Sus scrofa: one gene and its partner. The protein of the gene in region 1 purifies or fractionates together with the protein of each later gene. This does not show direct contact. Links are inferred from orthologs where the notes say so. Each region holds a gene or a part of one and is shown on either strand. Other genes may lie near its edges. The genes, in order: PLD1 and ARF1.

What was found.
Region 2: the proteins of PLD1 (region 1) and ARF1 purify together in Homo sapiens (affinity purification with western blotting; 3 studies listed by BioGRID, with this or other methods). This does not show direct contact. The link is inferred for Sus scrofa from reciprocal best matches to the Homo sapiens genes PLD1 and ARF1.

The regions. Positions count from the first base shown.
Region 1 is NC_010455.5:110,373,365-110,377,782, forward strand, and holds the start of PLD1 (phospholipase D1), read right to left. Parts: upstream 2,956-4,418; 5' UTR 2,712-2,955; intron 1-2,711. UniProt on the Homo sapiens protein: Function as phospholipase selective for phosphatidylcholine. Implicated as a critical step in numerous cellular pathways, including signal transduction, membrane trafficking, and the regulation of mitosis.
Region 2 is NC_010444.4:51,234,037-51,237,246, reverse strand, and holds ARF1 (ADP-ribosylation factor 1), read right to left. Parts: upstream 1,693-3,210; 5' UTR 1,692-1,692; coding exon of another isoform or gene 1,655-1,691; coding exon 1,507-1,654; coding exon of another isoform or gene 1,429-1,506; coding exon 1,318-1,428; intron 1,214-1,317; coding exon 1,089-1,213; intron 932-1,088; coding exon 770-931; 3' UTR 736-769; downstream 1-735. UniProt on the Homo sapiens protein: Small GTPase involved in protein trafficking between different compartments. Modulates vesicle budding and uncoating within the Golgi complex. In its GTP-bound form, triggers the recruitment of coatomer proteins to the Golgi membrane.

The DNA of each region.
Region 1 (4,418 bases):
TGTGTGTGTGTGTGTGTGTGTGTGTGTGTGTGTGTGGCACCCATGTTATATGAAAATTCCTGGCCAGGGATCCAGCCAGCACAGCTGCAACCTACACCACAACTGTGGCAACCCCTGATCCTTAACGCACTGCACTGGGTTGGGCCCAGGGATCCAACCCTCACCACCACAGAGACAAGGCCAGATCCTTTAACGGGCTGAGCCATAGCAGGAACTCCTACAAGTTGTTGCATTTTAACTCTGCAACAATATTCATTCACACCAGTGGCAGAAACTACATTTTATTTCACGGTGCTAAAATTTATAGGATTATAAACATAAAACTCTCACAGCTCTCACAGCTCCAGCTCCCCTCATCTACATGACTCAGACTAACTGCCAATTTAAAGGGCTATATCTTATGTGCTAGCTCCTCTGGCATACATCTTTAGTAAACACCTGGAGTGGAAAGGAAATTGCTACAACGTAGCCGCTAGCTTGATCAAAACTGCTTTTGGTTACTAAAAAGCTGTGGACAACCTAAGCTCAAGCATAATTTAGAAACACGCTACCTCACTGCTAAGAAGACAAAAGTATTTCATTTTTCTCTTAGATACTAAGGAGATGAAACTATCAACAATAATTCTCTTACTTGTTTCGCCCACTTGATGGCTAAACTTCACAGTAGCTTTACCTACAAATGGAAATAGCTCACAAGCTTATCCTTTCCTGATGGAGATTAAATTTACTAAATAGATTGAAGAAACACTGTAAATCAACTGTACTTTAATTTTAAAAAAGATTTACTTTTTTTTGGACTGTGATGATCATTATAAACTACAGATGTGATAAATTCATTTGAGTAATTAAAAAATTAAATAAATAAATAGATTTACTAAACAGAGTCTGGCTACAGCTTTCCACTTCTCTTCTTTAAAAATGAATTTCTCTAAAGCTATGAAAAGGAACTCAAACCTTGCTTAATGAGAAACCTAAAGCTTGCATCACAATCCTTATCAATAACATGTTATTAAAATCCAAAAGAAAGATGAAAAGAGTTTTGTAGAGGGATAGTCTTGATGGTAGCACAATAATGTGAAAGTACTTAATGACACTGAACTGTATACAAAAAAATGGTTAAAATGGCAGTTTACATTATGTGTATCTTTTTTTACTTTATATGTATCTTATCACAATAAAAATAAAATGAAATAAAATAACTTTAAAAACTCTGTAATAATTAAAGTTAAATGAATTTTATAACAATTTTTAATTAAGAAACACATTTAGTAATCAGACAACTTCCAAAGAACAGAGTCCCCACTACTTAGTTATAAGTCAATCAACCAACGTTACAGGTACTTCTCATCATGTTCCACAAATAGTCTGACATCATGGACAAACATGGTAAAGACACATCTTCCTCAAAGCCTTAACTACTCACATTTTTTTAATATGGATTGTGAATTATACCAGATCCTGAGAAGACAGGTTGGGAGCTCAACCAATTAGGGAAAAGATCCCCAAACGACATTTAAAGGCTGAGTGCAAATTCAAGTTAAAAGCCTGTGTACAATTCACTTTTATATATGTTATCATAAAACATTGAATACTGAAAGAAATTCTTTCTTAAATAGGCAGTGTGTAATTGTGGTGTCTGTTCATAGCTCAAGCTGTAGATTCTTTTCATGCCTTACATTTTCATTGCACTACCATTAACTAGCCATTAAACCCAACACAAAGGTCTCTAGGTGCCTGGACTCCCAAAAGCCCTGGGAAAGCACTCAAAAGGTGGTCTAAACTAATTGGCAGGCCCGGCAGGTAAAGTTTAGCGAATTCCTCATTCTGCGGAGAAACCTATGGGTAAGCAAACGTAGAAACCCTTGTCGTCCTTAAAAATCTACTTGCGTTTACTACTTTACAGAGGAAATAAAGAAGACAATAATCTGAGACTTGGAAAAGGAACAAATACAGGCGTGTCTGTAGTACTGAGCTGATTCCACAAGGGTTAGTTCCGAAGGGCGTCACAAAATCCTATCCGAGGCTTGGAGCACCGCCCTCTTGGATCCCAGACCTAAGCCACAAATTCGTTGAGATGGGGCGAGAAAAATAAATCTCTTTACACACGCCCAGCTCCTTGCCTCCTTTCCCTAGCCCCACCCTGGCGTCATCATCTCGTGGGCGCCCCCGCGAGCAGCTGTGTGGCCACACGCCAGGACGGTGCATCTGGCAGGCTGGGCTTTAAGCCTCGGAATGCAACACTTCCTGGTTGGTCTGGGATGCTAGTCCCATCGCACCCGCCATCCCGGTCATTTCACAGCGCACGCTAACCCCGGGCGCGCGAAGTAACACAGAGGCATCCAACACACGGCACTGGGGTCCCTGGCGGCGAGGTGGGTGGGTGCATCCTGCAGAGCACGCCCCAACTTCGGCCTGGAGCCAGAACGGTTCTGCGCTCCAGGCAGCCGCTCGCCCTGACAAAAGTGCGCGCCGAAGTTGTCAGCGTCCGCTCTGCAGGAACCCGGGACCAAGGCTTGCACAGGAGACCCCGTGGGGCTGCTAGGGAAGCCGGTCCTGCGAGGCCGCACGGCGCTGGCGCCGGCCGCCAACGCCACTGCCAAGGTCCCGTCCAACTTGGGCGGGGAGCAGCCAGCTGCCTGGGGCCGGCGGGAGGAGGGGCGGAGGGCGAGCGCGGGGGAATCCAGGCTCCCGGACCACGGCACGGCTCCTACCTGTGGAGCGAGGGCGGCCGCAGGAACCGGCACGGCGGCGGCGGTTTCTTGGGGCTCGGACGCAGCTGGCACCGCAGGAGGCGCGGGAGGAGGGAAGGAGGGAGGGCCTGACTGGGGACCGCGCTGTGCCGCCGCCCGGATTCGCGCAGGCCTGGCAGGGGTGGGGCGAGGTGGTGCCGGTCCGGGAGAGTCGCAGCGCAGGCTGGTCGCCCCGCTGGTCAGGAGGGCGCGGAAGCTGGTCCTCTTTCCTGGTCCCCGCTTCTGTTTCTCTTTTCTCCCAAAGTTTCATAACCCAGCCGCGTCAACCGAGGGCATATTCGCTAGCATTTTTATTGTATTATCGGGTCCTCTTGAGCCGCCCAGTGCCCAGGCACTGCTGTAGGAACTTTGTATCTAATCATAATCTATTGTAGCTGGTAACCACAATTGGTCTATTTTACAAGTAGGGATTAAGATTTAAAAAAAAAAAAAAAAGTGAAATAACTTGCCTGAGGTGACACAATTAAGGAGTTGGAGTTTTGTCGAAGTCATCTATAAGCTTTCTTCCAACTCCCTGGTGTAGATGTATCACTAATTTACAAGCAAGGACACTGAGGCAGAAAAGTGAAGTAACCAGCCTAAGATCACCCAACCAAGAACTCAGGAAACTGAACTTTGTGTCCTGATGTCTTTAAAGCTCGAGTAAGGTATAATTCAGAAATCTTAGTATAAAATAATAAATCAGGAGTAAAACATGGAAAATTCCCATTCCACCCATGGAACTGTTGTAATACAGCAGTTTTGATGGCCACTTAGAATAAAGTCCTAAGAAAAAAAGAACCACTTGTCATGTGGCTTGACTAGCAGCCCTTTTGAAATATAGCTTTGAATATAGGCCAGCTCCAACTTCATTACACAACATTGCCATTCTGCCAAAGCCGAAGGAAGCTATGGCCTCCACATACCCCAAACTGCTAATATTGATGGCCTCTATAAAACATTTAGTGGATATTGCACGGCCGAGACTGGCCGAGTTGCATAATCTTACTGAGCACATGGAACTATGTGAAATGAAAAATATAATATTCGACTCCAAAGTAGAGGAGGAGGAATGAAATTATAGTCTGGAACTCTTGTTTTCCTGTAACCTATAGTTGCTCAGCCCTCCCTGGACTGCATTTTTTTCCCTCTTGAGCACATCTTTTCCTAAGAAGAGTCACATAGCCTTCACTCTTTTCTTTGTTGACAAAAATGATTGATATCTTTTGAATCCTATGAGACTGACAGATTTTTACAATTAAACACATGGCTCTCTGAACAGAGTATTGCCTAAGAGGAATTTGGCAAGTATAAGACAAGCATGTTACCGAAAGGTTGAATACCCTTTCCTCCCCTTCTTTCTCAAGTTTTATTAGTCACAGATGATTTGATAAGTTTTATACATACAAGCAATGCACTCTTACAAGCTTGTATTTAGAAATTATAACACTTTTGATTGAGAAGCAGTGGGCTATAATATTGCGTCCCAAGGTTCTAAGTGTCATCATGAAAACATTTGGCAATAGGTTTTTCTATTAACTATAATTGGAAATAAAATATTTAAGTGCACTCACAGTAATAGAATTTCTGCTTCCCTGAACTAGAGGAATAAAATAGGAAAATGCCATATGTTGTTTAACGATAAACTTAAGCTATGGACTGTCAAAGATAAGCTTTATATATAGTACC
Region 2 (3,210 bases), on another chromosome or scaffold:
CCAGAGTGTTCCAACCAAGGTGCCCATGTTGACTCAAGAAAAGGCTGGGGTTCCTCCAAGGGGTCTGGGAGCAGTGGCTGCAGCTCCAGTCCATCTCCTGGGCGGCCATGTGAGCACAAATACAAGCAAAAACGCAATGGGGTGTGGGATGACCCAAGACAGAGCCAATCAGAGGGATCCTATTGTGACCATGCAGAATGGATCATGGCTGGTTCTGCTCCATTTCATTTCATGTTCCCAATGGGAAACAGACCACCAGTGGACTGGACTCAGGTGATTACTGCAGAACCTACACTAGGCACATTTCTCCCTTCTGTGTGTTCAAGTGTTCTCCTTATCTTGTATTTGTAACTATTTTTAAAAAATGCACTGAGTTTGGGTTAAAAACCAACCACCAAAATGGATCTCAACACAGATCTAAAGCCCAGAGGAGGAGGATTGGGCCTGTCTGACACGTGACTTCTAGAGGACCCGTGTGCCTAAAATCCTTTCTCAGTACTAAACAGTGGGTTGATTTTCTTTTTACAATAAAAAAAGCTGAGTAATATTGCATAGGAGTACCAGAAACTGCCTCATTGGAAACAAAAACTATTTACATTAAATAAAAACCCAGTTGCAGGCTGCGTCTGCACATTTACAGCATGGTGAAGCACACTGTGACTGACCATGGAGACAGCTTCTGGCACTCACACCACAGGGGCACGTTTGCCACATGAGAGTAAAGCAAGGGTAGAAGAGGGAGTGAGAGGGGAGGAGAGAGGTGTACAGCTCACTTCTGGTTCCGGAGCTGATTGGACAGCCAGTCCAGTCCCTCATAGAGCCCATCACCACTGGTGGCACAGGTGGCCTGAATGTACCAGTTCCTGTGGCGCAGAGAGTGTAGGCCCAGCTTGTCGGTGATCTCGGCTGCATTCATGGCATTGGGAAGGTCCTGGTGGGAGAGGCAGCACAATAGGCATGGGTCAAGGAAACTGCATGGAACCCTTTCCACCCGTCCTGTTACTCCCTCATCAGACCCTCAGACCTGAGAGGCCAACCACCTGACATGTGCCCACCACCCAGCAACAGGGTAGCTCAGTCATGCATACCTGTTTGTTAGCAAACACAAGCAGAACAGCGTCCCTGAGCTCGTCTTCTGCCAGCATCCTCATGAGCTCCTCTCGGGCCTCATTCACACGCTCTCTGTCATTACTATCTACCACAAAGATGAGACCTGCAAAGGGAGGAGTGAGCATTAGTGTAGGCACCGAGGACATCCCCGACCTCTCCTACAGGCCATGGCCCTCCTTGAGGGGTACAACTGGGTTCCACCCTCACCCTGCGTGTTCTGGAAGTAGTGGCGCCACAGTGGCCGGATCTTGTCCTGGCCGCCCACGTCCCACACGGTGAAGCTGATGTTCTTGTACTCCACGGTTTCCACGTTGAAGCCTGGAGGAGTAAGACCCAAGGTGAGCATCTCCCTAGAGCCACTGCTACCCCTTAGCCTCCGAGGCCCGGCCTCCTCACCTATAGTGGGAATGGTGGTCACGATTTCACCCAGCTTCAGTTTGTACAGGATGGTGGTCTTTCCCGCAGCATCTAGACCCACCATGAGAATGCGCATTTCTTTCTTGCCAAAAAGGCCCTTGAAGAGGTTTGCAAAGATATTCCCCATGCTGTAGACTGGTGGGAGCAACACTGGCCAGAGAAACCTGTCGAAACAAGAAGCCCCTGGGTCTCTTTCTGTGCTGCCCAGGGTCAGCAGAACAGGAGCAGCTTGAGAGACCACCCCTACCCACTCACCCACAGGCAGACAGAGGCTCTGCTATCTCTCCTGGAAACTCAAGGCATAAGCCGATAAATAACCTGGTTTCCAAACAAGACAAACCCGTCCACCTGCTTCTTGAGCCCCCAAATTACCCTTAGAACGGAGAGTATGGGAATCTTAGAATAAGGATGACCGGAATTTGAAACAGCTGCTGCCATTATCTCCGGAAATGATGCCCAAGGTCACAGGGCAACTTACCTTTAAGACCTTCAACCTGCCACTGTGGGAGGTAATGTCCAACATGCATGAAGAGGTGTGGCTTTCAAATGAATGCTAGATTCTCCACCATCTAACAGAGCTCTTCAAGGAGCCAGAAACAACCACTGCCAGGTCCTACCATTCCTCCCAACTGCCCCAAGTCTCAGTGAAACACAGTCCATGTTAAGATGACCAAAGCACAAGGAGCTAGAAGGGCCCATGGCAGAGACCAAAAGCCAACCTTTATTAACATGCTGAGAGCTTAGCACATCCTGCAGGTAGGACCAGGGGGTGAAAACACTTGGGCTCTAGGGTAGCACATGAAGGCATGCAGTCCAAAGGTGAACTCACAGCAACGGTCCTGGAGAGCCTGTCAGGGGAAACTTTGCCGAAAGCTATGGTCAGTGCTATCCTTGAGAGAAGGCCTATTCCGTGTAGCAACATGCTCACACAAGAACATGTTCCTCCCAGGCTTTCCTTACCCAGTAGAGCAGAAACACTGGGATACCATCAAGCTGGCTAGGACACAAGGTCAGAGCCCAGCCAGCCCCAGACACCCAGATCTGCAGGAAGGCACAAGTGACCGTAATTTGTCATTTGTGGGAGAGTGCTGCTCATGGGAAGAGGAGATCTCCCATCCTGAAATGTCCCCAGGGCACCAAGGCTGCCTAGGCCTGGCCCCTCCACATTCAGCACTTTCACTCTTTAACAGTTTTAGTTGCAAACAAGAAGGGAGAAAGTTCAAATGCTGAAAGCTAAGGAATCTGGATTTTTAGCATCTAAGTGAAGCCACACTGTGGTAGCTTTCAACTGTAAAGAACTCTGTGTGAGTGTTGACAGAAAACCAAATGAACCAGAGAACTTGTTCCAAGCAGGTAGGGAGCTACTTGCACGTGGATCACTGAGAGGGTGTTGGTGGATGGAAGCCACTGTCAAGGCTAGGAAGGGGCTTTGCCCTACATTCCTAATCCCCCATCCCTGGAAGTAACCATGAGCTCCCAGTCTTTGGGCTTTGGATGGATGTTGCTGGGGTAACCAGGCATGCACCACTGTACTCCACCTGGGGGGTGTGCCCCAGATCCCCACTGTTCCATGTCACCTCTGATGACAGGCTCAGGTGGAGTTGCCAGATCTCCACTTAAGTTTGCCAAGTCTCCACTGTAAGATACTTTTTGCCTAGTCATCAGTGAGGACTGGGTGACTAT